2 linked regions of the Arabidopsis thaliana genome follow. The protein of the gene in region 1 interacts with the protein of each later gene in a pairwise test. Each region holds a gene or a part of one and is shown on either strand. Other genes may lie near its edges. The genes, in order: PIP5K9 and CINV1.

Evidence for each region.
Region 2: the proteins of PIP5K9 (region 1) and CINV1 interact in binary tests that used the Arabidopsis thaliana proteins (3 or more experiments, as listed by UniProt).

What each region holds. Positions count from the first base shown.
Region 1 is NC_003074.8:3,033,796-3,047,036, reverse strand, and holds PIP5K9 (phosphatidyl inositol monophosphate 5 kinase), read left to right. Parts: upstream 1-2,117; 5' UTR 2,118-2,372; exon of another isoform or gene 2,373-3,168; 5' UTR 3,169-3,360; coding exon 3,361-4,577; intron 4,578-4,672; coding exon 4,673-4,840; intron 4,841-4,934; coding exon 4,935-5,100; intron 5,101-5,219; coding exon 5,220-5,330; intron 5,331-5,510; coding exon 5,511-5,698; intron 5,699-5,790; coding exon 5,791-5,948; intron 5,949-6,020; coding exon 6,021-6,180; intron 6,181-6,331; coding exon 6,332-6,611; 3' UTR 6,612-6,647; exon of another isoform or gene 6,648-6,734; intron 6,735-6,850; exon of another isoform or gene 6,851-8,022; intron 8,023-8,237; 3' UTR 8,238-8,257; downstream 8,258-13,241. Other genes in the region: RABC2b (RAB GTPase homolog C2B), read left to right, coding at 8,916-9,051, 9,327-9,395, 9,497-9,562, 9,665-9,786, 9,859-9,987, 10,078-10,173; RABE1e (RAB GTPase homolog E1E), read right to left, coding at 10,658-10,747, 10,847-10,939, 11,032-11,094, 11,181-11,278, 11,375-11,440, 11,623-11,723, 11,807-11,879, 12,278-12,350; AT3G09890 (Ankyrin repeat family protein), read right to left, coding at 12,879-12,959, 13,043-13,138, 13,227-13,241. UniProt on the Arabidopsis thaliana protein: Plays a role in sugar-mediated root development. Interaction with CINV1 induces repression of CINV1 activity and negative regulation of sugar-mediated root cell elongation.
Region 2 is NC_003070.9:13,116,915-13,132,902, reverse strand, and holds CINV1 (cytosolic invertase 1), read left to right. Parts: upstream 1-7,574; 5' UTR 7,575-7,785; intron 7,786-8,075; 5' UTR 8,076-8,094; coding exon 8,095-8,460; intron 8,461-8,532; coding exon 8,533-8,964; intron 8,965-9,055; coding exon 9,056-9,246; intron 9,247-9,326; coding exon 9,327-9,694; coding exon of another isoform or gene 9,695-9,720; exon of another isoform or gene 9,721-10,144; coding exon 10,145-10,443; 3' UTR 10,444-10,821; downstream 10,822-15,988. Other genes in the region: AT1G35560 (TCP family transcription factor), read left to right, coding at 15,779-15,988. UniProt on the Arabidopsis thaliana protein: Cytosolic invertase that specifically cleaves sucrose into glucose and fructose and is involved in the regulation of multiple tissue development including primary root elongation, root hair growth, leaf and silique development, and floral transition.

The sequences.
Region 1 (13,241 bases):
TTTTACACCAGACTTTTTAATGAGGGTAACAAAATTTAAAAGCTCGAACATGTTATGTTAAATTGGTCATGAATATACGGTGATAAACTGATAACAAATCCTTAAGAAAAAAAAAACAAGAAAACAAAATCTGTCCGTGGTAACCACGTGTATTGTGCACTAGCCACTTTACGTGTATTGAGAAAATGTTTTTACCAAATCATCTAACTAATTGTCTTTCTCCAATGCTAGGAAGTTGTTTGTTAATTTAAATTAAAAATAGAGGAAATATCTTTATGAATCTGCAGCTAATATCATGAATCTACAAATTACTATGATTATAACAAAACTCCAACTTGCTGTAGAATTGGCAAACAAATAGTCAAATGCAGTAATTTAGTGTTTGATATACAAATTAAAGACCACTAATTAAAGGGACATGTACATTTGTAATAGCTATGATACCATGAACACTTTAATTTTTAAAACAAGACTGTTGTTTCAATTTCAGTTCATATAATTAGTGATTTTATTTTTCTCTTTTTACATACGGTGGTGAGATGATTTATATCCAAGTAAGAGGGAGAATATTGCCCTAGTACCAAAACAAGTATGAGAAGGTATGGCGTACTTTAAAAGGAATAGAAATCGAGATCGAGACTTTCTCTTTGGACGTTTTCTTGAGGTATACGGATTGAAGTATCGATTTATGATTGGCCAATACTTAAAATTTTATCTCCATCGGATATCATTCCATACTATATGCTTCTCTCGATCGTTAATTCGCTGAATAGACTCTCCACGTTAAAATACAACTAAAAAAAAATGATTGATGATGAAGAACGTTTTTTGGTCTCGCAAAATTAATAAATTATTAAAGTAATGGGACTGGGAATATATATATATATATATAACAAGAAAGAGAAAACGACAATATAATGGAATTTTCTTTTAGTAAGTGGTAGCCAAACCCCACTACTCGGATCGGTGGCTGTAGTTGTTTGATTTTAGATAATATGCAAAACTTAAGGTACTTGGATAGCTAGGTAGATATTGTGAAATTACTCAGATTCTAAAACGAAAATATGATGATATGATCATTTTTCTTACTAATATACTGTATATCATTCTCGATTGATGTCTAAGTCTACTAATAATGGGAAAAGATAAGTTTTGTTTTAAAAAAAATAGAAATGAGAAAATAAAAGTTGTGGCTATAAATGCCCTATATTACAGATTTATACTCTATTTTAAGACATTTTCATAAGACGGTAGATCGATTCTATTTCTATTCTTCTGGTTTTTCTCGCGTCTCATATGTAATTCGTAAGTTGTACGTAGCATGGGGATATCATACTTTTTTCTATACTTTTTTTTGTCATTATAAAGTCCTTTTTCTATTGTTAATTAAGCTTCCTTTTTTTTTGGTTAGTACGTTTCCCTGAATACAAAAATAATAATTAACTTTTTTGATCACTAGCTAATCCCAGCATCATTATAATAATGCACCGAAAAAGATATGTAAAAGTGTTTAATCATATAGCACATCACAATGACTACATATCATTAGAACATTCCTTCGTTAACAGTATTGAATATTTATACTACTTTCTAATGAATACGATTAAATTAATTCCCTCATAATTAATACTACTTTATAGCTAACCCCCAGATCTCGTTATTCAATTAAGAGTAAGGCATGTAATGCCGATTTAGACTGATTTCAAAAGATTTTCTCGAACAATAAAAATATGTAATCAACTTCTTTTCTTTTTCTTTCAAACTCAAATTTGTTGGGTCAACTTGTAGTATATTCAAACTCAAATTGGTGAGCAGAAGTTGACTTAAAAATATTGGGAAGCACGTGGATTAGTGTAAGAAAAACACAATGTAATGTTTCCCTTCACCGGCCAAGCAGGTCAACATCTCTACCTTCTAAACACACATCAATTTTTTGTTGAATATTATATTTCATCGATTAAACAACTAAACTTATATTTGAAAAAATATCTCAAACCACTCGGATAATAGAAAGATCAGAGTATTGATAATTATTAAATCTTTGATTATTTCACCAGCTACAAAACTTTTCTAAATAGATATGTATATAAACAAAACCACTCTTGTAAGAGTAATAAGTGGGGTTAGATCAGAAAATACCCAAAATAAAAGAATAAAAGAGGCATTAATTAATGCAAAGGTTATATCCGTCATTTTGGTGTAAAGTAAAAAGCTTGAATTTTTATGGAAGCTGAAATAAGAAGGCTGTTATTGTGGCGCTTAGCTTTCGGGATTTGGTCCAGTCGTCTCTTTTAGAAAGATTTGACCAACACTGAGGCTGAAGAAGACGAAGAAAGAAGAAGAAAGTGAAGAGCTTTGAGCTTGTCCGTACGGTTTGTGAATCTCCTTTACTTCCCCAGTTTCCTTATTTAGTGAGCTTGATTTGGTTTTTGGATCCGGTTTCATTCTCGAATTCGGGCATTTCTCTGTTTTTGGTTCTCTTTGGATTGAAGAAGTCTTTAACCGGGATCTTCGGTTTTTGTTGCTTTCGTTTTATCTTTGTTGAAGATTGAAGATTGAAATGGAGTTGCTTGTTGATTGTGTTAATCAAAGTTTTTAACTTTTGTTTCCATCGACACGACTCTGATATGTACTTATATAGAGCTCTGATGGGGTTTCATTATGAATTTCAAATTCAGATTGAAACATTGAAACTTTGTTATGAACATTTTTTGTTTTTCATTTGCTCAATTCCTAAAAAGTAGGATTCTTTCTAGCTTTTTGGTTTGGTAAATTTGGCATACTCTGCCTTTATTTGGGAGACGTGGAGGAATCTCTTCTTTTTAAATGTGAATTCAATATAAAAGTTTAGATTTTTTTTTATATAAAGGCTTTATGATTGTAGACTCGTCTTCTTCCATAAAAGGCTTTCTTTTTGATAGGAAAAAGGGATTTTTGTTTGCTCCTCTCTCATTCTCTGCCTCTCTCTGTGAAATTTAGAAGTTCTTGTTCTTTCAAGTGGGACCAAGAATCAGATGCGTGTCTTAATTTTCTTGTTTGATAGAGATTTGAGCAAGTCTTTGCTTTTGTGACCATTTATCTATTTTCATGTTTTCCTCATTAGTTTTAGATTATTGCATGCATCAAAAGTTAGTTACTCTTTTTTATTCTTTCTGATTCTGATTCTAGATTCATACATCGTGACTTGGAACCTGATTCTTGCATCTGCTTTCTTCGTTGAATAGCTGAGCACATTCTGTTTCACCAGTTTACTGGAGGTAGCTTCATGTTTTGTTGAAAGAATGTTCTCCTTAAGGCTGTGAAGCCTTTTGCTCTGCGGTTTGTCTGAGCGTTTCTGCTTTAGCTTCTTTGGAGATTTACATGTCTGGCCTTGACGTACGAGGAGCAGTTTCTTTTGCTGAAAGAACTAAATCTGTTGATGCACTTACTAAGAAAGAGATCCTATCGGCGCTAAACAGTGGAGAAGTTTCCGAAACTTCTGAGGATGCTAGGTTCAGAGTTAGGGAGCTGGTTCTCCCCGATGGCGAATCCTACAGTGGTTCTTTGCTTGGAAATGTACCCGAGGGACCAGGGAAGTACATATGGTCAGATGGGTGTGTTTACGATGGAGAATGGAGGCGTGGGATGAGACATGGAATTGGAAATATGAGATGGGCTTCCGGGGCATCTTATGATGGTGAATTTTCAGGCGGTTATATGCACGGTTCAGGGACCTATGTGGATGCTAACAAGTTAACGTATAAAGGAAGATGGCGGCTTAATTTGAAACATGGGCTCGGATATCAGGTTTACCCTAATGGAGATGTCTTTGAAGGTTCTTGGATTCAGGGATTGGGAGAAGGACCAGGGAAGTATACTTGGGCTAATAAAAATGTCTATCTCGGGGATATGAAAGGCGGGAAAATGTCAGGAAAGGGTACACTTACTTGGGTTACCGGAGATTCCTATGAAGGAAGTTGGTTGAATGGAATGATGCATGGTGTTGGTGTATATACGTGGAGCGATGGAGGTTGCTATGTTGGGACATGGACACGGGGTTTGAAAGACGGTAAAGGCTCGTTTTATTCAGCGGGAACCAGAGTTCCGGTAGTGCAAGAGTTTTATTTAAATGCTCTTAGAAAGAGAGGTGTTTTGCCAGATATGAGAAGACAGAACCAAGTTGCTTCCTCGGTTAATATGGAAAACCTTAGAGTTGGTGTGAACCGTAATAAGCTCTCAAAAGGGAGCTTAATAAACTTAGAACAGTCCCGCAATGGAAGGGTTTCTTTAGAAAGACGTTGGAGTCTTGAAGTATCTATTGAGAAAGTGATTGGACATGGTTACTCGGATTTATCTACGGCAGTTTTAGATAGCGGAAGTAGTGTGCAGTATAAAGCTAACATACCAATCTTGGAGAGGGAATATATGCAAGGTGTTCTGATCAGTGAGCTTGTGGTAAACAACGGGTTTTCGCGCACATCCAGAAGAGCAAAAAGGAAACACAAAAGACTTGTTAAAGAAGCTAAGAAGCCTGGAGAAGTTGTTATTAAAGGTCACCGGAGTTATGATCTGATGCTCAGTTTGCAGCTTGGAATCAGGTATGCTTGCTCCTTCTAAACCTGTGCCCTGTGAGCGTGTTTAGCTCTAAATTCATCACCGAATATTGTTGTTACTGAACTAGTTCAAACGTTAGATACACAGTGGGGAAAATTACGCCAATACAAAGACGACAAGTTCGGACAGCAGACTTTGGACCTCGGGCTAGTTTTTGGATGACTTTTCCTCGAGCTGGCTCCACGATGACTCCTCCGCACCACTCGGAGGATTTTAAATGGAAGGACTATTGCCCAATGGTATTCAGGTTAGAACTTGTGTACTGCATACTTTTTTCTTAGTAGTATGTTAACTATAGTAGTTGTGTCCTTGGTGTTTATATTCATTGCTAAACCTTGTAGAAACCTGAGGGAGATGTTCAAGATCGATGCAGCTGATTATATGATGTCCATTTGTGGAAATGATACTTTAAGAGAACTTTCTTCTCCAGGGAAGAGCGGCAGCGTCTTCTTCCTGTCGCAGGATGATCGGTTCATGATCAAAACACTCAGGAAATCTGAAGTCAAGGTTTGTGACTACTTACATATCCACCATCTCTGTTTTCACATTATCTTCTTAGTTTTCTCCATGTCTTTGCGTAGACTCTTTGTCCGTCTGCCCATTGAGCTTCCAGATTTACTGTGTAGGTTCTTCTGAGGATGCTTCCAGATTACCATCATCATGTGAAGACATATGAGAACACCCTCATTACTAAATTCTTTGGCCTTCACAGAATCAAACCATCAAGTGGTCAAAAGGTCCTGAACCAAAATACCTCAAGATTCTGATTTTGATTTTTTATTATCATTAGCTTTGAAGTTGCCGACATTGCTGCCTCTAAATATGATGTAGAGTAGAACTCTAACATTAGAGCAACATTTGGAAATCCAAATCAATCTTAAAACTAACTATGTTTGAAAATTTCTCTTCCATTGCAGTTCCGTTTTGTGGTGATGGGTAACATGTTCTTTACAGATCTAAGAATCCATCGGAGATTTGACCTTAAAGGTTCGTCCTTGGGACGCTCTGCAGACAAAGTCGAGATAGACGAGAACACGATACTTAAAGATTTAGATCTGAACTACAGCTTCTTCTTGGAGACTTCTTGGCGGGAAGGTTTACTGAGGTATTACTCTCTCCAGGACCTTCTTGTAAGATATATACATTTATCAATCCATATTCCGCAGTTTAAAATTTCTTTTCTTGCTGTGTAAACAGGCAACTAGAGATCGATAGCAAGTTCTTGGAAGCACAGAACATAATGGATTACAGTCTTTTGCTCGGTGTGCATCATCGAGCTCCACAGCACTTAAGATCCCAATTGGTCCGTTCTCAAAGTATAACAACTGATGCTCTGGAAAGTGTAGCTGAAGATGGTGAGATTCTTTTTTTCATCACCTGTAAAATGATTCATACTATTTTTCTTCTACTGATGATGATGAAAGCAGATACAATCGAGGACGACATGCTGTCTTACCACGAAGGATTGGTTCTCGTTCCTCGGGGAAGTGAAAATACTGTAACTGGCCCTCACATCAGAGGCAGCAGATTACGAGCATCCGCTGTTGGTGATGAAGAAGTAGATCTCCTTCTTCCTGGAACAGCCAGGTAACTAACTCTCACCTGGTTGGAAAAATGAAAAACTAAGACTTAACAAATGCTGATGACAAATAAATGGAATACATATGATCCAGACGACATGGAACTGATTGAAACTTAGTCCAGTTCGGTTTTTGAAAAGAATCTCTATAAAATGCAGGCTGCAGATACAGCAAGGAGTGAACATGCCGGCAAGAGCAGAGCTGATACCGGGAAGAGAAGATAAAGAGAAGCAGATTTTACATGACTGCTGCGACGTCGTACTCTACCTTGGCATTATAGACATCTTACAAGAGTACAACATGACCAAGAAGATTGAACATGCTTATAAATCTCTTCACTTTGATTCTCTTTCGATCTCAGCCGTTGATCCAACATTCTACTCCCAACGTTTTCTTGAGTTCATCAAGAAAGTATTTCCACAGAACAACAAATCATAGACAGAGAATTGAGTACAGAGTTTTATGTTTTTTTTTGTAGAGATAAAAAAGAATTCTATGTTGTAAGTATGTTGTATACAGATCTTGAGAGCTTCAATAAATAAGTAAAAAACTAATTCTCCTTTTCTTGATTGCATGAAGTATTTGGTTTAATTATTAAAAGGCAAAAATATAAATAATCAAAAGTCACAGAAAAGCCCTAACGTGTTGTCTTCTTCTTCTTCTTCTTTTGAAGAGTAAGAAATCAATGTCGTCCCTGGAAAAGAAGAGGAAGAGGAAGACTACGACTAGGACAAAGAAGAAGAAGCTGTCCCCAAATCAGTCAATCCCTATGATTTGCTATTGGACATCATCGCACGCGTCCCAAGATTGTACTATCCGACTCTCTCACTCGTTTCCAAGAGCTTTCGATCCCTCCTAGCTTCACCGGAGCTTTACAAGGCCAGCAGGTCATTCTTGGGTCACACCGAGCGTTGTCTCTATGTGTGCTTACGGTGCTGTCCTGGTTATCGCTGGTTCACCCTGTGTCGGAAGCCAGATCAAACCCTATCCAATGACACCACTGAAAAGAAGTCAAGTGGGTATGTTTTGGCAACAGTCCCCATTCCTAGTTTTCATAAACCGCGCTTTTCGAGTCTCGTGGTGGTTGGTTCTGATATCTACTACATCCACGGGCCCTCCTCTAACGTCTCGATTCTGGATTGCCGGTCTCACACGTGGCGCCAGGTTCAAAGCTCGATTCTAGATTGTCGGTCTCACAGGCGGCGCAAGGCTCCAATCTTGCCGGTGGAACATTCGTCACTTACTGCTAGCGTCCTTGGTGAAAAGATATATGTAGCAGGATGTTACAGCGATATGCATTTAGGTTCTTCTTTCTTTGAGGTGTTCGACACGAAAACGGAAGTTTGGGTTAGTGAGCCCATCCCTTACAGCGACAGAAAATACAACTTTCTTCACCCCAAAAGCATTTGTATTGATGGAAAGATCCATGTAGTGACTGACAGTGAGGGGGTTGTTGCTTACAATCCCAAGGAAGGTATATGGTTGGATTTGGATCAGTATATGCGTTCAGATTCTTATTGTGAGATAGATGATATTTTGTACTCTGTTTATAGCAGAACGGTTATATGGTATGACACTGAGGCAAGCAGGTGGAGATATTTGGAGGGCTTAGGACAACTTACGTTTCCTCTTGGTGCTTCTATTAGGGCTTAGGAAAGTTAGCGGTTTTGTGGGACGAGGATTTGCTTTATGGTTTGACTAGTTTCGTCTATAAGAAGAAGATTTGGTGTGCGGAGATTTCGCTTGAAAGAAGCAAAAGTTGCGAAAGTTTTGGGAAGTTGAATGGTTTGATCATGTGCTTACAGTGCCTAAAGAATGTGAATTGGTGAAAGTTCTTGCTGCTACTGTTTAATAATTGCGTCACAAGGCTTGAAACGAGGTCTCTTTGTCTCTTTATTCACTTGTAATCATTTGATTTCACTTGCTGATTGATTGTTAAGCTTACTTTGTTGTGACCAAAATGCTTTTGATAACTACGGTCGTCTCTTTACATATGTGTAAACAAAACAAAAAAACACTTTGGAGAGTAATTGATTTGAATGGTTAATTTTGCAACAGAAAGAGTTTTTTTTTTTTTTGGTTATGTTTTAAAGTGTAAAAAAAGCCTTTGTTCATGTACTTGTTCCAAAACTGATAGTAACTTGTAATCCATACAAGTGAACTTGTGAACACTCTTTATAACAACTTATCTTTCATGAGAGCTTCACTAAGAAAACTAGTTTTCCTTTGTGTTTTTTTGGGTCTGAATCGCCGCAAACCGCAAAAGATAATTGCAAACGTAACAGTAGTGCTTTGATTGCATGAAATATTTGGTTTTATAATAAAAAGCTAGGAAAAAATAAAAAAAAATTTGGGAGGGAGCAACAAACACGTGGATACAAAACAAGACGGACTTTGGAAGAAACGTTGAAACAGAAACAGATACGTGTCGTGAAGCGAAATGTCGGAGAAAGGAGAAGAAGCAGTAAAGAGTTCTTTAATGTTTTTGACAGTATTTGTTCAACAATTCTCATTAACGTTTTTCATTATTTGTTTTCTGCTCTGTAAAGAATAAAGTTTCTTAATTTGTTGTATGAATCATAGATTTCTCTGCAGAGGCAAAGTTTTCTCTCTTCTTTTTTCGATTCATTCTTTTACAAGATAACATAAAAATCACTTCTTTTGTTTGTTTGTTTATCTAAGTTGAATTTGATTTGATCTCTTTACTGTAGTATTAGATAGAGTGAGAGATTGTAGAAGAAAATGGGATCTTCTTCTGGGCAAAGTGGGTATGATCTATCTTTCAAGATCTTGTTGATTGGAGATTCTGGTGTTGGTAAAAGCAGCTTGCTTCTCAGCTTCATTTCCAGCTCTGTCGAAGATCTTGCTCCCACCATTGGTAATTTATCGTTCGTTCTTAACAGTCTTAGAGCTAGAATCTTGACTGGTCAAACTTCAAATATCTCTTTGTCGACATGATTTTTTTTTGCATTGAAGGCTAGCTTATTGTTTGTGAGCTAGACCACTGTCTGGTCAAAATTCAAATGAAGTTGAAGTTTGAGAACTTGAAGTTTTCTTTATGATTTTCTGTTTGAAAATAAACTCGGAAAACATAACTCTTGATGCTTATCTGAATTTGAAGCCTGCTTGAGTCTGATCAGTATAACATTGTAGGTGTTGACTTTAAGATCAAACAGATGAAAGTAAGAGGGAAAAGGCTGAAACTTACAATCTGGGACACAGGTAAAAAAGCAATAAGAGCAATTCGAGTTTTTGGAACGTGTGTAGTTGGTTACTACAAAACTCATGGTCCATGTGATTTCTTGTTTGTGATTGTTGTGTAGCTGGACAAGAAAAGTTCAGAACATTGACAAGTTCTTATTTCAGAGGCTCCCAAGGAATCATTCTCGGTAATGATATATGAGATCATATAATTGTCAGTAGCTGTTGTCGTAATAAGTTCTCAAGACTTGTATTAATACTCTCTCCGGATTTTCTTGGTCATGGTGCAGTTTATGATGTCACGAAAAGAGAGACATTTTTGAACTTGGCAGATATTTGGGCTAAAGAGATTGAGCTATATTCGACTAACCATGACTGCATTAAGATGCTCGTTGGCAACAAAGTTGATAGAGTGAGTAGCAGTAGTAGTAACACTTGTAGTCAAACAACTTGAGATCGGTTTCACTGATAGTTGTCATTGCAGGAATCAGAAAGGAAGGTTAGCCGGGAAGAAGGAATGGCTCTAGCGAAAGACCTCAATTGTTTGTTTCATGAATGTAGCGCAAGAACCCGAGAAAACGTGAACGGATGCTTCGAAGAGCTAGCTTTGAAGGTAAGAAAGAATCTTGATGATCCCTTTTCACTTTCAAAACCGGTCGAAACTGAGGAAAATAAATAATAGGAGAGTTGCAAAATGAAACAGATAATGGAGGTACCTAGTCTTTTGGAAGAAGGATCAAGCTCTGTGAAGAGAAAACCGGATTACCGAGCTCATCAAGGCCGGTGTTGCAGCTCGTGAGTCACCTTGTTAAAATCGGGTCGGAAGTAGCCTCTTTTGTGTGTAAATTTCTCAAGAAGCTTGACTTCTCTGTAAATTTATCAATTCCTTCGATCTTTCTTCTTCTTGCCTCGGCGGAGATTTTGTAATAAGTTTGTAACCCCAGAATATATGAAAAAAAGGCACTTCATGTTCTTATTATCTCGTGATTACTTTTAGTCTGAAATTTTATATCTGTCACAAAACACAGGAACGAGATAACTCTCTAATTTCGAGCCTTGAAGCCGTAGCTTACACACATAACATCTGCATTTCATTAATTCAAAGTTTAAGCACTTAAACATTGTCTACCATTACCAGTACAGTGTTTGGCCATCGAGATAGCAAAATACACACAGCTATCAATTAAGTCTATCCTCCTACTAATAAGAACATAGGACGATCCCTTGAATGATGCGAAGAAGATTAAAGACGGTAAGAGATTAGAAACAGGTTCAGAGAACTTCTAAACATAACTGCAGCAAGCTGATTTCTCATTTGTAGAAGACGATGAGGCTTTGTTAGCATCTTGTTTAGTGATCTTGATCCCTTGGGGCTGCAAATCAACAAAGACAGTATTTGATTTTCCTCAGCAATATTTACAGTTTCATAATCCGAGTATCAAGCGAATAGTAGATTCCATGTGCTTCTTTACCTCGGCTTTTGTATCGCTTTCTGTGAGTCTTTGTTTTATGTCTTTAGCGATAGAAAGGAAAACCTGCTCGACATTCTGGTTTGTTTTTGCACTCTGCAACAGTTTCCAATCATATTTAAGAAAATGAAAATCTTCAAACAAACAATGAATGAGGAGACAAACATATTATATATTTTCGCACTCACCGTCTCAAAGAATTTGATTCCATACTCATCAGCAAGAGCTTGTCCTTTTGATGTTGGGACAGCCTGTAGAATAAGATGCAGCATCAGTATCCTACGAAATGTAGGCAAAACATGGTCAGGATTGTGAACAGAGTACAGAGCAAAATTACCCTTTTGCTTTCGTCCATGTCGGCTTTGTTACCGACCAATATCTTGTTGACACTATCGGACGCATGCTGCTCAATGTTTTTCATCCAGTTCCTAATGTCTGGAGAAGCAATTTGTGTTAGTTCCCACACAAAGGTGACTTTTAAGTTCTAGTAAGAATATAGTTCCTGGTACAAAGAAAAGCCAGAAGACCTACTGTTGAATGATGACTCATCTGTTACATCATAGACGAGTAATATACCCATCGCTCCTCTGTAATATGCTGCAAAGAAAAATGGACCAAAAGAGTTACAAAGAAATGTCATCTGAACTTTATTAACAAGAAAGAAAGTAAACAAATAGACTTAGAATGATGAGTAATCATCTAACAGAGGAATCAGCAGATTCATACACAAAACATAAAGAGTGATCTTCACTTCACATAGAGCAGAGAGAAGTTTTAACCTGTGGTTATAGTTCTAAAACGTTCTTGTCCAGCAGTGTCCCATATCTGCAATTTGATACGCTTCCCATCAAGTTCGACTGTTCTTATCTTGAAGTCGATTCTGAAAAACATGAAACGTACTTAAACCGAACTTTTCAACAATCTAACAAGACAAGATACAAAGTCAAAGAAAGAAAGACATACCCAATGGTAGTAATGAAACTCGTGGTGAAAGTATCATCCGAAAAACGCAGTAACAAGCAACTTTTTCCCACACCTGCGTATACACACACACACATAAGTACGAAATGAAGAGAAGAAAATTTAACACAAAAAAATGATGATTTGTGCAACTCTATCTGAACTCATTGTAAAATCAAGTTAATAAAACTGATTCATTAGTTCTTCACAAAATCTAAGTTTGAGATATTGCTTATAATTGAGCCAAAACTTCCAAAAGGGAACTACGTTGATACTTCAATTAAAAGAGAGTGTAGCTCATCTACTTTGTTGATCAAACACGAAAGAAAAACAAAAAACGCAAAAAAGTTCAAAATCATAAACCTAATTCAGATCGCAAAACAGGCAGGAGAGAAGATTCTCGGATAAAAATGCAATAGTCTCTGAACCTCGTTTGTTCAGTACTTCTTAAGAGATAGAAAGGCAGAGACTTACCGCTATCACCGATGAGGAGAAGCTTGATGAGATAATCATAGTCTGAACGAGCTCTTGCCGGCGCAACCGCCATCGGAGAAGATGTTAGTAATCACTATTCTGTATCCTCTTTCTAAACAGAAACTAAAACCGAGCTTTTGCTATTTTCCCCCGGAAAATCTCTTCTCGCCGGAGACAGCCAAAAAGAAAGGAAAGAGGCAGAATAAGTGCTCTGCTTGCTATCAAGTTCAAAGCTGCTCATTGGTGGATCATATTTTATTACTTTTTACTGTTTTAGTCTTTTATTTCTCAAGTATTCACACTTCAATCCACCAACTTATTAAACCGCTCAATTTCCTTCTTGTTAATATAGATGTTTGAAATGTTTAAAATTGATTCCAGTTTTCTTACAAAGAAACTAGTATATTTTGTACTACTCAAATCTGATAATAATTTCATGATTAAAACCGACACGGAAGTTCTTAATTCCATAGGTATCAAAATTTGAAACCTTTTGTATATGAAACCACCAAAAAACAGGATTAAGAAAAAGTTAACATTTTGCTACTACTTCACTGAGTCGCCAAAACTGGCCAATGAACTCTGCAGATTTGCAGCATCACTAGGAGATCATTGAGTTGTTTATCGCTTCTTCGAGTATCCTCTTAGCATCAGTGTTTAAATCAGCTAATTCACCTGGTGTCTGCATTATCACAACCTTGTTATTATCGCTAACCATACTTCAAAAGCCAAAGATAGAAATTGCTTTCAAATGTTTTTTTTCACCTTCCCATAGGAGTTTTGTGTCGTTGGTGAAGCCCCGGAACCCAGCAAAAACCTAACCACGTCAACATGTTCACCTCTTGCTGCGTGATGCAGAGGCTGTGAACAAGAAAAACTTTGGGATGAATTACATTATAGAGAGCAAGAGCTAGAGGGAATGAGGCAATTGAAGATTGAGAATACTTACAGTATCACCTTCTAT
Region 2 (15,988 bases), on another chromosome or scaffold:
TCAGCATGCCATCGCATAGCCGCAGCTGTCTTATGGCACTGATACATTCTCTTCAACCGGTCTGCAATAGGTAGATACCACATACGACTATATGGTACTTTGGTTCTTCGACGGTCGTCCTTAGGCTTCCATCTTTGTGCGCCACAAAATCGACATTGATCTTCTTTTTCGTCTTCTTTCCAAAATAACATACAATTGTTTTTGCAAACATCAATCGTATGATATGGAAGTCCTAAATTGTGCATCAACTTCTCGGTCTGGTAATGTGAAGTGGTAGCCTGGTTTCCTTCTGGTAAAAAATCTGTAAACATCTCGCAAACGGAGTCCACCAACTTTTCACTCATATTATACTCCGCTTTGTTGTGCATGAGTCGAGATGCTAATGATAACTGCGACTGCCCTTCACGACAACCATCGTACAATAGATTATTTGCACCTTCTAACAAGTCGTAGAACTTATTTGAATGGTTACGGACCGGCTCTTCCACATTCTGATAACTACCATCATGATGATAGCAATCATCATGACCCACGTTATCATCATACCCCACATTAAAATTAAATGCATCGTTCACCATATCCACATATGGGTCTTCTACAACATTACCCACTTCTTCATGATTCTCACTAAAATACGTCCTATCCGTGTAACTAGTTCCGATATCCATATTCAATTCTTCTCCATGCTTATACCAAACATAATAATCAGGCATAAATCCTTGACTAAACAAATGACTACTAACTCTTCTACCCGAGATGATGTGTTTTTCATTCTTGCATACACTACAAGGACAATGAAATTTACCTCGACAACTCTGTACTATAGGCTGACTATTAGCGAATGTCATGAATTCCTCAACTCCTGCGACGTATTCGGCTGACAAATTCCCCGTCACTTCATCGAATCTCTTGTACATCCAATCTCGATAGAAACCGCCACTACCGCCATAATTGTAGTTTTCCGCCATTATAGAATAAACAAAATTTCTATTGTTTTCTTGTTTTTTTCTTTTGATTGTTGTTTTGATTTGTTTGTGAAAGAAGAGTGTCGTGAATTTTGATTATATAGACGAATTTTTATGACTAATTTACGACTACAACAAACAAATTAGGTGTACCTACTTGGCAATGCGGAAAACGTTTTCCAACAACTTAATGCGACTATTCTGCGATTCAGTTGCGACTAGTTTACGATTACAGATATGTGTCGTATTTTAGTCGCCGATTGGGCGACTAACTTCCGCAGTCGGAAACTGTAGTCGTCCATTTGCGACTATGTAACAACAAACGTTTTTCTAATATAATATAATCGTTAAATAGTTGTTACTATACGAGTATTTGCCGACTAACATATTTAGTCGTAAAATAACGACTAATTGACTACTAATGTTCATGTTGTCGTATATGCGTCGTAAAACGGTCGTGACGTAGTCGTCAAAAACGACGACTACATTTGTTGTCGCTTTCTGTAGTCGTTGTTTATCTGTTTTCTTGTAGTGATAATAATACATGGATTAACAATTTCTTTTATGTACATGGATTTCAACTCTATAGTTTTATGATTGTTTTCAAATTCAAAATCGGTAATAATAATACTTGGTACCATCTTCATTAAGTTTTATGATTGTTTTCAAACTCAAAATCAATAGGTAATAAGTGGATTAGCTTATGTTATTTATACTTTATTATCCACCACAATTTTGAAGTGAGATTTATAACAAACCGTTTCAAGATGATAACTCTAACATTGAACTTAATCACACTCTAGAACTAGCAATAAACGACACTTGAAACATTTTATTTGGGTTAACAAAACCAAACTGTAATTATACCATATTAAATTCTATAAGTTTTTAAATCAAAATCGAATAAGAATTATTGGCTAATATCATTTATATATTATTCTATATCTTATTTCGTGAATTCTATCATTATATAAAAAGATACATTTTTCAGTAACGTTAAATTCAATGAAAACGATTGTACATGTTTTATCTCAAACGTTTGTGTTAGTTATGGAAAGACTACATGATTGTAACGTAAAGTTGCTTTCTTTCTTTTTTTTTGTCTTGCAAATGCCAAAATACCACCGAATGGTAGAGCCACTGGACAAGAGAGACTCGGCAATGTTCATTGATCTAATTTATGAGTTTACATAGTTTTAAACTTAATTGTTAATGTTTATATATATATTGAACATAATTACTTTTTCATTTGATACAGATAATTACATTTTTGTAAGGACTTTAGTTCAGTACACTTTTATAGTGAGATTTGAGGTTATCAACTTCTCGGATTGGTTTGGAGCATCTAAGATAATCCTAATGCTCTATCACTTTCTTTGTAGAGATAAGAGCTATACAATGAGTTTCGATTCGGTTAATTCTCTCCACAAGATAAATAATGTGCATCGATCTTTTAGGTTTTAGTTCAGACTTTTTTTTTCGGTTTTGGTAGTTCCTAGTTAATTCACATATTAGAGATTTATTAGTTTGTTTTCTAAGTTTTACTTTATCATTTTATATTTTTGGTTGTTTGTATGTTTTATTTTTCTGGAATTTCGTTCTGTGAGGATATCTAAATATTTTTTTCTGACTTTTATTTTAGAGAGAATATTAATTATTCCCGATGATATATCGTTGTATGTTATAAAGTTATATTAATACTATTCAAATGATATGAGAGTTCGATCCATACTTTTCTAATATGGTATCAGAGCCCGATCTACACATACTCAATCTAATCCATATCAGTTCGGCCCAATACTTGCCCCATCGATCCATGCTCGAATAAATCAAGATTAATGGCTAGAAAAATCATCATCTTGAGAGATCGTATTAAAAATATTTTACATTAAAAGTTGAGTAGGATTTTAAGTGGTATATATAAGATATGAATTTGTATACCTATCGCCGATTAGTTTTAGGTTGAAAGTTTACAGTTTAATAAAAAAATGGTTTGGTAGTCTTCTATTTGTGCCGAGTCATGCCTTGATTATTCTATGAATTGATATTTTTGTCGATCTGAAAGAAGGAACACGAGGAACATATGGTTAACAGCTTAAACACTATTTGTTTATTCATCGACGTGTATTGCATTTTCTTGGTAGCTTTTCTTCTACGATATGTTATTCCTAAATCCTAACCACCTTATAATTTATATCATTTTTCTCTACAAGATTTTTTTTTGTTAAATATTTTCCTCTACAAGATATAGCTAGCTATTTTAATTTTATATAATCAAAGCATCTATTCCACGATATGTTATTATGTTATCCTTATATTCTAACCACCTTATAATTTACATCAATTTCCCTTACAGGATAGCTATTTAGCCAATCATATCATTTTCTTTAATGTTATTTTGATAGTTTTCCAGAGTCCTGTTTTATACTCCTAGTATAATTTTAATTCATAGCATATAATTTGTGAAGTCCTAGTTGGATAACAGTAATAAAATATTTGTTGGGTGAATCTTCAATATACTTAATTGTTTTACCTTTTTCGACCTATAGCTTATATATGTGAATATTGAAATATATTTTCGTAATATGCCTCATATTCTGAATTTACTTTTGTATAAACAGGTATAAATATATATAAATATTGAAAGATATTTTCGCAATATGCCTCATATTCTGAACTTACTTTTGTATAAACAGGTATAAATGTGAAATATGTTTGAATGTTTTTATAGAATGTTGTTATAGCTATGACTGATGGTATAGAAAATGAAATTCAATCTTTCAAATTTAAATTATAAGAAGTAGTGCAAGTCTTTCTTTTTTTTGGTCCACATAGAAATTTTTTTTAACCCAAGAACAATAGGATTTAAAGCCCTTCATGCTTACTATATATATATATATATATATTTTTGGGGTTAAAATTCATGCTTACTAGCTAGTTAGTTTAGGTAATGTGACTTGATTAACGATGTCAGTTGTTAAAGCCACTAGGCCAGAAATCATTATAGCAAAAGTGCATCGTGAATGTGCTTGCGGTTGTTGGAATGTTCGAAAACAAGCATTTGCGTTTATAAACGTTAATAAACACAGTTTATGCGATTGATGTAAAGATTGGAAATAGATAAGTTATTGAAACAATTTTGAATAGTAGTCGATAGCATGTGGTGATGATTTTTCAATAGTATTTGTTATACGTGAGTGTGGTAGATGTTAAAATCAGGTGTGGTGATTTTAGTATCTCACAAAAAGATTGCAATTAAAAAAAACATAAATAAACAAAATATTGAATTAAATTATATAAAAATAGAAATAAATCAAGAAAAGATAACGGTACGGTGCTTATTACTGATGTTGAGTTAAATTTTTTTTTTTTAACAATCGATATTAATTAGAACTCAAAAAAAGTTAATTTCGAGGAATATTGTTTATATATGTGGTATGATTCGGTTTGATACGAATCTTTTGTGTCAAATTATCTGTTTTTTTATTTGTATTACAAGAAATTAAAGATAAATGTAGTATGATGCAGATCGGTACGAATCTTTCATGCTAATTATCTGTTTTTACATTTACACTATGAAAAATTAAAAAAAAAAAATTGTGCTAATTGAATTACACAAAAAATGAAGAAGTAAATGTCGTAGCTAAAATTTATGGGAAACAGAAGTGTCCCCATTTTTGGCTGTGCTCTGTCCTAATTATGCATAACATTACCTAGTTATTACAAAAACAAAACCTTTTTTGATGAAAATTTGTCAATTAATATATTTACCTTTTAACTAGAGTATATGGATATTATATTATCTTGTGTGACAAGTTTCGAAATTGCATTTTACATTATGCTATTCTAAAATTATAGTTTTAAAATGTTCCAAAGATCTGAAAATAGATACACCTTTCATTAAAGGGAAAAAACCCTAGTAGCCTCCTTCTCTCTCGCTTAGTGCCGCTTCTCTTCTGTTCAAAACTTGGCCGGCGCGTGGCGGCTCTCATAGCGCCGGCGTCGGTCCCTCATGTCTTAGTTTTAGTCTGTAGTCTTTGCTTTCTCTTCGGTGTGGTTGCGTGGTGGTTCGACGAGAATTTTGATGTCTGCAATTTTGGTTTTAGATCTGCAATTTTGGTGAGGGAGCTCTTAATTGATGGATTTGGAGATTATTAGAGAGGTGAGTTGCTTCTCTGAGTGGTGTCTTGGAGCTTAGATAACGGATCTATCAGATCCTTTGCTACTGTGGTTGTTGATGGACACTCTCGACGGTATGGTTCTTCCCCTCCCAGATCGGATTTGAACTTTTGTGGCTTAGTCTCGTTGTCTCATTGTTCTTCTTCTATATTACATGTTTGTTTGGGAGACTTGTATCGATGGTGGTGACTCTGTTTGTGGATTATATCTTTAGATCTTTGCTCTACCTCTCTATTGTGTCCTCTTACTTGTTCGGAGTTGCATTTTGGACTGGTTTCGTTCTTGGTGTTGGCCACTTTGATGGTATTTCGTTGCTGAGCTACCTACTAGCCTATCTTGTTTGGAGTTAGGTTCTAGGCAAAGCAATGGATTCGTTCTCTAGTTCTTCTCTGGGGGACGTCATCAGCTTTTTGTCTGTAGGTGTGCGGAAGCTGCATTCGACGAGGGCCCGCGTGTAAGAACTAGTGATCTTAATTGGCTTATCTCTTGTCGATCTCCAAGGCTTTTGTCTTGTCCCTAGTGCATTTGCTATCTCGGTTTGGTTGGTGAGGTGTGATGGTGTTTGTATTTGTGTCTCTCGTTCTGGTGGCTTCTTGCTTTCCTCCCTGTCGGATTGCTACTGGTTTGACTTCGGTGTGAAATCTTTCCGATCTTATTGGTGCTTCCGACGTTCACCGTTTCTTTGGGGAAGCTTTGTGAGAGCTTTTGGTTCCTTTGCGCAATTTTAGTGCTTAAATCTTCGTTTTTTCTTAACGGTTGATTTTTTTTAGATATTTGTTTCTTTGTTTTCATTGCTGGTCTAAATAGTTTCTCCGTTTCTTTGGGGCTTAGCTACCCTCTTTTAAGCTTAATTTCTCGAGACATTTTGTTGGTCTGCCGGCTTTTATATTTGAAATGGTATCCTACTTTGGTTTCTTAATAAAATTCTGGCGACAAAATTTTTTTTTTTCGAAAGATCTTGTCATAAATATTTCCTACTGCCTTTTGCAATACGTTACAATGTTGACAATTAGTAAAATTCCTCATTTTTTCCTTAAGAAAATATATAATACCAAATGATGATGATTCCACGTATAGATGTCTATCTCATTGCGATACTATATTAATATAAATCAATTTCTTCCAATTTCTGACCATCATATTAGTATTATATTGACTTTTATATTTGGTCTGCATTAATTATATGTTCCCCATAAATAGTTAGCAAATCCGGTTCGGATATGTAGGTCCAAAGCCTTTTGTATTTTTATCCACGCAAATTTTTCTTGAATCGTACGTAAATATTGAATTCCACGTTTCCATATACAAAACCAAATCAAATATAATTACTTTTACAACAACCCCATTTACGATTTGAGAAACAAAAACGTAAATAACTTACGAATTTTCATGTTCTTGAATCTTTTCAGCAGGAAAATAGTAAAATAACTCAATGTTTTTATGGAATAATTAAAAAAGAAATAGAGAAAACTGTTTAATTTTCAAATTATTCCAAATTTTGTTAGAAAAGAAGTTGACCTTGAATATCTAGTTTGATTCTCTATTTGAGATAGCTATTTATCCCTTTTAGTTTTTAGGTTCATAAAAATGTACAGTTTTGTACTTTGCACATTATCAAAAATGTAGAAGAAAAGTAAATTATTGATTTGATTGGTGACTTAAAATTATATAAATTTGTTTTACAGATAAAAAAACTATAAACAATACCAAAATAATTAAAAATAATACTAATAAAAATTAGAAAATAACGACTTTACATGATATTTTTGGATATCAGCTTTGAATGGTAATTCATTATCAAAACACTACAGTTTGTATATGTTTGACAATTATCATTCACAAAATTTTTATCAAAAACATTACAAAAATTTTTAGTAGAAAACTTTATTATACAACTTTCTCTGCTTATTTTTTTACAGTTTTACACTATTTTTAAAGCTCTTATAATTGTAGTTAACATCAAAAAAATTTGTACAAATTTGTATTACCAATCGGACTCATTATTTTTGCGATTAGTAATAACTAAAGAGGTATTAGTCCGATTCGGATCTAATATTGGACTTAAGACATTGGAACTTGGGACGACCTCGAATAAACCCTAACAACTTGGAGAGATAAATACATTTAGAGGCTGTCAATTTTCTAAAAAATTAATACAAAAATCATAGTAAATATATTATTATTAAATACCTAGTAAATGTACTGTCCACCTAACACTTCAAAAAAAGTTTGGTGTATCGGTCAAAAAAAAAAACTGGGCAACCGATAAAACAAGTTTCCAAGAAGAAAAACACAAACGCCAAATCAGCCCAAGTCACAAATCCGTCGTCGTTTAGTCCACGTAGACTTCACAAAGTCTACCTTTTTCACCGGTTATAACCGGTAAACTAAAATTCTCCTCTCTTTTACCAGTCCCGTTGAAACTCCGTTAAACTTTTCCGTTTCTCCGTCATTATAAATATCAATCTTCTTCACTCTATCGTTTTTTTTTTTTCCTTCTTCTTCCCTCTCCTATAAATCTCTCCGTCTTCTCTCTTCTCTCATTTCACGTCGGAGATCATTTTCTCCTCCTCCGCCTCCGCCTCCACCGCCACCGCCACCGCCGCCGCCGACGACTTTTCTCACTTACTCAACACCAGAGGTCTCTCTCTCACTGTTTCTTCTTCTCCTTTCTTTCGATTTCGTTTGGTAGATTTTTAGATCTGATTTTTTTCTGGTCTCTGTAGCTTTACTTGAAGTTGACTCTGTTTCTCGTTATAGATCTTGATCTGTTTATGATTTCGAATAAGAACAGCTTCAAGCATAATTTTATATTCGAATAAAAATTAGATGCAATGTGTTTATTTCGCGTGTTCCAACTACACGAGTTTTTTTTTTTTTTTTGGATTAGGAGTTATAACAATCTCATTGATCTTATTGTTTTGATTTTAGATCTTGGTTTAGTGTTATAATGGAAGGTGTTGGACTAAGAGCTGTAGGATCACACTGTTCTTTATCTGAGATGGATGATCTTGATTTGACTCGAGCTTTGGATAAACCAAGATTGAAGATCGAAAGGAAGAGATCGTTTGATGAAAGATCGATGAGTGAGCTATCGACTGGTTACAGTAGACATGACGGTATACACGATTCGCCGCGAGGTAGATCGGTGCTTGATACGCCTCTTTCTTCTGCTAGAAACTCCTTTGAGCCTCATCCTATGATGGCTGAAGCTTGGGAGGCTTTAAGAAGGTCAATGGTCTTCTTCCGTGGTCAACCTGTTGGTACTCTTGCCGCGGTTGATAATACTACCGATGAAGTCTTGAACTATGATCAGGTAAAACTATCGAAAAGTTTTCATGGTTTTATCTCAAAACGTTTCAAAATGTTTTTTTTGCGGTTGTTGTAGGTGTTTGTGAGGGATTTTGTACCGAGTGCGTTGGCGTTTCTGATGAATGGAGAACCGGATATAGTGAAGCATTTTTTGCTTAAGACACTTCAGCTGCAAGGTTGGGAGAAACGTGTGGATCGGTTTAAGTTAGGAGAAGGTGTGATGCCTGCAAGTTTCAAGGTGCTTCATGATCCTATCCGTGAAACGGATAACATTGTTGCGGATTTCGGTGAGAGTGCTATTGGACGTGTGGCTCCTGTAGATTCAGGGTTCTGGTGGATTATTCTTCTTCGTGCTTATACCAAATCTACTGGAGATTTGACTCTCTCTGAGACACCAGAGTGTCAAAAGGGAATGAAACTGATCTTGTCTTTGTGCTTAGCTGAAGGGTTTGACACGTTTCCTACACTGCTTTGTGCTGATGGATGTTCCATGATTGATCGAAGAATGGTATTAAAAGCAATCTTTGATCGAAACTGATTGTTGTTTCTTGTTTTGTTTGGCTATTAAGATTGATTTCTTTTTTTTCCTGTATTTGAAGGGTGTTTATGGGTATCCCATTGAGATCCAAGCGTTGTTCTTCATGGCTTTGAGATCTGCTTTGTCGATGTTAAAGCCCGATGGAGATGGCAGAGAGGTCATTGAGAGGATCGTTAAGCGACTTCATGCCTTGAGCTTCCATATGCGCAATTACTTCTGGCTTGATCATCAGAACCTCAATGACATTTACAGGTATAGTTATTTCATTTGCTTTAGATGATATGTAGAGTCACAAAAGATCACTATAACTTATAGTACATTTGTTTAAAAAGGTTCAAGACTGAGGAATACTCTCACACGGCGGTGAACAAGTTCAATGTGATGCCTGATTCTATACCCGAGTGGGTTTTCGACTTCATGCCTCTCCGTGGAGGCTACTTTGTGGGAAACGTAGGACCTGCCCATATGGATTTCCGGTGGTTCGCACTCGGTAATTGTGTCTCCATACTTTCTTCATTGGCCACTCCAGATCAATCCATGGCCATTATGGACCTCCTTGAGCACCGGTGGGCAGAGCTTGTAGGTGAGATGCCTCTCAAGATTTGTTATCCATGCCTCGAGGGCCATGAGTGGCGCATCGTTACTGGCTGTGACCCCAAGAACACACGGTGGAGCTACCACAATGGTGGATCTTGGCCAGGTCTTTTTTCTTTCCCTGGAGACTGATTGCATGAGACATTTCTTATCTCGCTTAACTGAGATTTTCGCTAGACCTAGCCATTAGGGTTTTTTTCGGTTTGATTTGGGTTTCAATTTTTTTTTGTAGACTGGCATAAGAACAGAAATATTCATTTAAGATAGTTTAGCTAGATTTTAGTTATAAAAACTCAGTACTTAGTTTAGCTACAGTTTGGTTGTGGTTTGGATTATTCATATGAACGTATAGATACATTTTAGTTTGGTTCAACTTTTGTATCTTATGATCGCATTTCTTTCTTAAATATATACATTTGTGGCAACCTTTGATATATTTTGTTTTGAAATGTTTTGATAGATTGAATAATGAACATCATGTTGTGTAGTGTTAAATTTGTCAATAAAATTGAATACAGAATCTGACCGCCTTTTTGTTTCTCTGCTCAATGTACAGTTTTGCTGTGGCAGCTAACAGCAGCGTGCATTAAGACAGGGAGACCGCAGATCGCAAGACGCGCGGTTGACCTCATAGAATCGCGTCTTCACCGAGACTGTTGGCCAGAGTATTACGACGGTAAGCTCGGAAGGTACGTTGGAAAACAGGCAAGGAAATACCAGACTTGGTCAATCGCAGGTTACTTAGTGGCGAAAATGTTGCTAGAAGATCCTTCACACATTGGTATGATCTCTCTTGAAGAAGACAAACTCATGAAACCAGTCATCAAGCGATCTGCGTCTTGGCCACAACTCTGAAAAACCGCTTTAGGTTTTTGTTCCGGTTCTAATATTTGCCACGATATGATTTTTTGTTGTTGTTGTTTGTATGATAATGTTATTGAAAACTTGTGCGGGGACATAGACTTTTTATTGATTGCTTTCTTTCTTGCTTTGCAAGTAAGGAAAAAGAAAATGGGAAAAGCTCGTTTGCCGTTTTTATCGAAATTACACCTTTTTTTTTAATAATTTGCATTTTGGCGCTATTGCAATATGAATATCTTTCAATAAGCTGAAATGACCGATTCTTATTGGTGTAATAGGTGAAATTATCTTTATTATAATCATGATTTGAAGTTAGCCTCCACTCAAATTCAATACCAAAAGCCTCACTCATTTGGTCGATTGATTTCAGTACATATATAATTAGGATAATGTAACACTATTCTAAATTAAACTTATCCATATAATGAGTATTTTACTCTTACGGTAAAAGTGTATTTGAGTATAAATACTTTACAATGTACACATTAAACACTTAATGAGAAATAATACGATTCTGTTATTTTTACTTTCTCTTTTTTAACTCTTGTTTCTTCAGCTTGAGTTTGTTATAGAGGAGAAAGAATCCTAATATTGTATCAGAGCTTCTCCGATCATGAGCTTCTCTTCAATCGAAATTCGTTCTCATTCATCTCTTTCAATTTCTTTCTGATTCATGTTGTATCATTTTCCTCGCGATTCTTCAATTCGTGTTCGTGAGTGAAATCTGAGTTTCTTCATTTTCATTTTCTGACCTAATTGCTTCCGATTCTCTTCTAAATCTCTTTTCAAAGTAATCTCTATCATCTTTTGATCTTCTTTCAACTATGGAATCAAATCCATTTCGTCCATCTTTTCTTGATGCAACATCGAACAATTTCAATCCGCAACATCACAGTTTTTTTTTTTTGAAAATAATGTTAAATTAGATTAAAAAAATAGTGTTTTTACTACAAGTGCAACGTATAATTTATATGAAATAAATTGAAATCAGAAAGTAGAATGAATAAGCTTTGTGATGTTAATCGACAAGTATAAATACTTTACAATGTACACATTAAACACTTAATGAGGAATATTACGATTCTGTTATTTTTACTTTCTTTTTTCTCTCTGGACTCTTGTTTCTTCGGCTTGAATTTCTTACAAAGGAAAAGGAATCCTGATAATCCATTTGACTAAATATCGACTATAGTCTTGTATTTAGTATAGTAAAACAAGATGATGTTTATTTAAATGATGTAAATAATTTTCTTGTCTCATTTATGTCAAAAATGTATATATTTCTATTTATTTAAATAAACTGCACAATAATCCTGGTTTTGTATTCTGATGGGCATCACTCGACGTTCATGTAGACAAAAGAAGAATGAGACTTTATTGTGAATTGATGTACATTGATTTTGTGTCAAACAATTAAACAAAAATATTTGTCGGCTAATACAATTCTTTGGAAAAAGAATCATTGGGTCATTGACTCATTGGCCCATTTCCCAAATCACATATCCAGCCCGAGTCGGCACGATACAGCATCGCCGGCCTTTTGGTATGGCACAACAAACTGATTTTCACGTGGTTTAAGTTTCTCCTTTTGGTAATATTAATACACGTGGTTTAAGTTTCTCCTTTTTTCTTCAAAATGTACACCATTTGACCGTTAAGTCAACATTTCAAGTTTTCTAAGCTAGCTATTTTACACCTCCATTTCTCACCGAAGCAAACTCTATTTATGACATTCCAATACACCAGCATATAATGTTCTCGACGAGGATTCCATCATGTCCAAAAACTGGTTTTCTAATTAGTGCTTTCACCGGAAAATCTACCAGAAAAAGTGGCTGTTAACACATTTGAAAACGGAGTAAGATCGTCAACATTTTTTTTTTTTCTTTATAACTTGTGAATATATATTACCTCGAAACGAAAAAGTTATTTACAAAGTCAGAAGACAGACATGCCCAAACAAAATTTAAAAGCTAAATTTGAAATACATTTAACTGAAACAGAAAAATTAACTATGGAAGAACCATTGAGACAAGAGTCTCCCACAACATTTCATGCAAAGACGAGTTAGAAGATTGTCAATATTAGTCACATGCTATGAGAGAAGGAAAAACAAAGCATTGAAAAAGTATTCTAAAATTATCGGAGGAAGAAATATTGAAGTACGATGTTGTAGGTGATCGGGGGCAAATTGATCTTGGAATAAGTAAGCATAAAACAGTAGCAGAGGCTTGGGAAGGCTATAGACAAAGACGACACAGATCTACTCACCTTCAGGCCATAGAAACAGCTCTCTTACAACAAAGAAACGATAGAACAGAGGATGAGGACATTGTTCTTTGGAAAGGTAAAAATGACGTATATAAGCCACAGTTCTTGACTAAAGAGACCTTGAATCATATGCGGACCATATCCATGGACGTTGATTGGTATAAGGGTGTTTGGTTTGGTCATTCCACGCCAAAGTACTCTTTTTGTGTTTGGTTAGCAGTTCTTAACCGACTCTCAACAGGAGACAGAATGACTCATTGGAATGGAGGTCAGTCAGCCGCTTGTGTGCTATGTCACAACGCTCCCGAAACCCGGGATCATCTCTTCTTCTCCTGTGACTTTGCTTCGATAGTTTGGAGTAACTTAGCAAGAGGAATCTATGGAGACAGATTTTCTACACATTGGCAAGACCTGATACAAGCCATCTCCGGCTCTTGGATGACACCGCTTGACAGTTTCTTTGCGCGATATCTCTTTCAAGCCACGGTACACACCATTTGGCGCGAAAGGAACGGAAGGAATCATGGAGAGAAACCAAACTCAGCAGCTCTTTTAATCAAATGAATAGACAAACAAACTCGGAACCAGCTTTGTTCGATCAAAGCAAGTGGAGATAAGAGATATGACAAGGGCTTACAAGCTTGGTTTGCGATGAGAGAATGAGAAACAATTTTTAGATTGTATTCTAGTTTTTGCTCCAGTTTTTTCAACAAAATGTTGCACATAGATGTAAAAACGCTATTTTTTTTTTGGATTTAATTTAACATTACATTAAAAAAAAAAAAAAAAAAAGTACGATGTATATCACAAGATTATAGAAATACGAGATTCTATGTATCTAGGTGGTATCAAAGAGAAGTGAAAGGTTGAGGAAACTTTTTACAAGAAATGTAAAATGGGATGAGTGAAATTAAAGGGAATGAAAGAGAGTAGAATTGTTTTTTGGATGAGAACTCATGAGATCATACCTACACACAAGACCAACCCAAAGCTAAAACCTGTAAAGCATGGGCTTTTTAGGCAGTAGATGATTCTAAAACAATTTAAAAGCACCATTTTAGAGATATATATGGTCGAAGAGTGATTAACACTTTCACTCTCTCACCATTTTATTTTATTTTTAACGTCTTGCCTACACATTTAAAACATTAATTGGTTGATACTTTTATACTTTTTTAAGCAATTAAAATAATTTATTTAAAAATAAATGTATATAAAAAAATATTAATAGTTTATTTCTTAGATACTCAATGAGTCTCCATCCAATGAAGGTGCTCTAACAGAATCTTGAACAAGGCTACATACTATATGGTCTTGTAAATGAACATTTTCACTTTTTGGAGAGAACAGAGACAAGACAATGGACCGTGGGAGGATCCAGAGTTTCAGACCAAACATCACGTTTTTTTATCACTCGCTTCTTGTACTTCTTCAACTATCTCTGACTGTTTTACTGTTTTCTTTCACTGCTAATGCTTACACGTGCATCTGTCTCAACAATTATTTTTCAGGAAAATAAAAAATAAGAGAGATTATATATACAGTTCAAAATATAATTGCATATATATATATATATATATATATAAATTATATAAAATATACTGTTCAAATATAAAGTTTTTTTTATAGTGGTTTGGTTTCACTTTCATTGTTATCTATAATTTAGCTCACGGTGCGTACATGTAACTTACATTAAGAACAGCCAAAAAGCTCAAGCTCGTGTCCAAATTAAGATTCCGAATGGTATAGCTAGCAATATAATATATTATATGGTTTTGGATTGATAAAAACATAAAACCTAATAAAGGAATTTAATTGATATAAAAAATGAAACAATAATACAGTCTAAATATTCAATTATGAATTAAAATATTGCAATAAATCAGTTAATAGGCATTAATACTAATATGATTATACATACATGGTTAATCACTAAGAGCAACGTGAATATCAATAAACTAATTGATTTACTACGCTTGCATAATTATTTTCCTTAAAACTTTTTGATTTCGAATACTTTGTTAACACCCTGATACATGTGCATATAACATAGTAGGCTGAAATTGGACTATTCTTAGACAGTTTTCACATCTAGAATGAGATGTATAGGTTTCGTTGAGAAAAATTGTAGTTGAGATGATTAGTTATATATAACCTATGTCTGTGGGTGCTAATTTGGCAGATGGGAAAAGAATTGAAGCCTTTATATATAGTCTTCAATTATTAGTATCATCGTTAATAAAAACAGTGGTCCTTATCTCTCAACAAGTCTTTCATCAAATTCGGATAACAAAGACAAAATAGAGAATCAAAGAAAGAGACATTTGTGTTATTATCAGTAAATTATTAAAAAAATAAATAATATTAAAACACTATTATATTGGGTGTAAATTGGCTCTATGATTAGTGATTAGTTTTTTTCTTTTCCCCCATAGAACATTCAACGTTTCCCACCCATGCAAAATCCAACCTAAAAGCCAAACTTTATAAGGAAACCAACAAATAGATCCCTACAATCTAAAGATTGCAACAAAAATGCCCCAAAATTATAATCTTAGACAATCCACACCTTTTTCAATCATGTAAAACACTTCCAAACTTTTCATAGTCCATTGCTAAAAATAGTTTTAGTCTCACAAAGTTAGACCAAAATTCAATACATTCGGCGCATAATTATTTTTATACTACAATATAGTAAGTGTGATAATAACCAAACAAAAAAAGGTTAAGTGATCATTTGGTGTGGAAACAGCAAATATTGGTCTCTACTCTCTACTACAAAAACCTAGTGGGACTACAAATGAAAATAAAACACAAAAGAAAAAGAAAGTGAAAGTCTCTCTCTCTTTTCTACAAGCTGCTTCATCTTCTTCCTCTCACTCTCTCTTTCTCCAAACAAGTAAACAACAGTCAACACAAACTCATAGCCCCACCAGAAAAAAAAAATACTCCAAGAATTTATAGGTTATAAGTAAAAATTCAGTACAAGTTTGTTTGTTTGTTTATTCCATTTTCTTGTGTGTTTTTTTCCCCATAATTTATAAATTTTATAAGCAATATGGAGTCCCACAACAACAACCAGAGCAACAACAACACCACTGGTTCGGCCCATCTGGTCCCATCCATGGGACCAATCTCCGGTTCAGTCTCATTAACCACCACTGCTCCAAACTCCACTACCACCACCGTCACCGCCGCTAAAACACCCGCAAAACGACCGTCCAAGGACCGTCACATCAAAGTAGACGGACGTGGCCGGAGGATACGT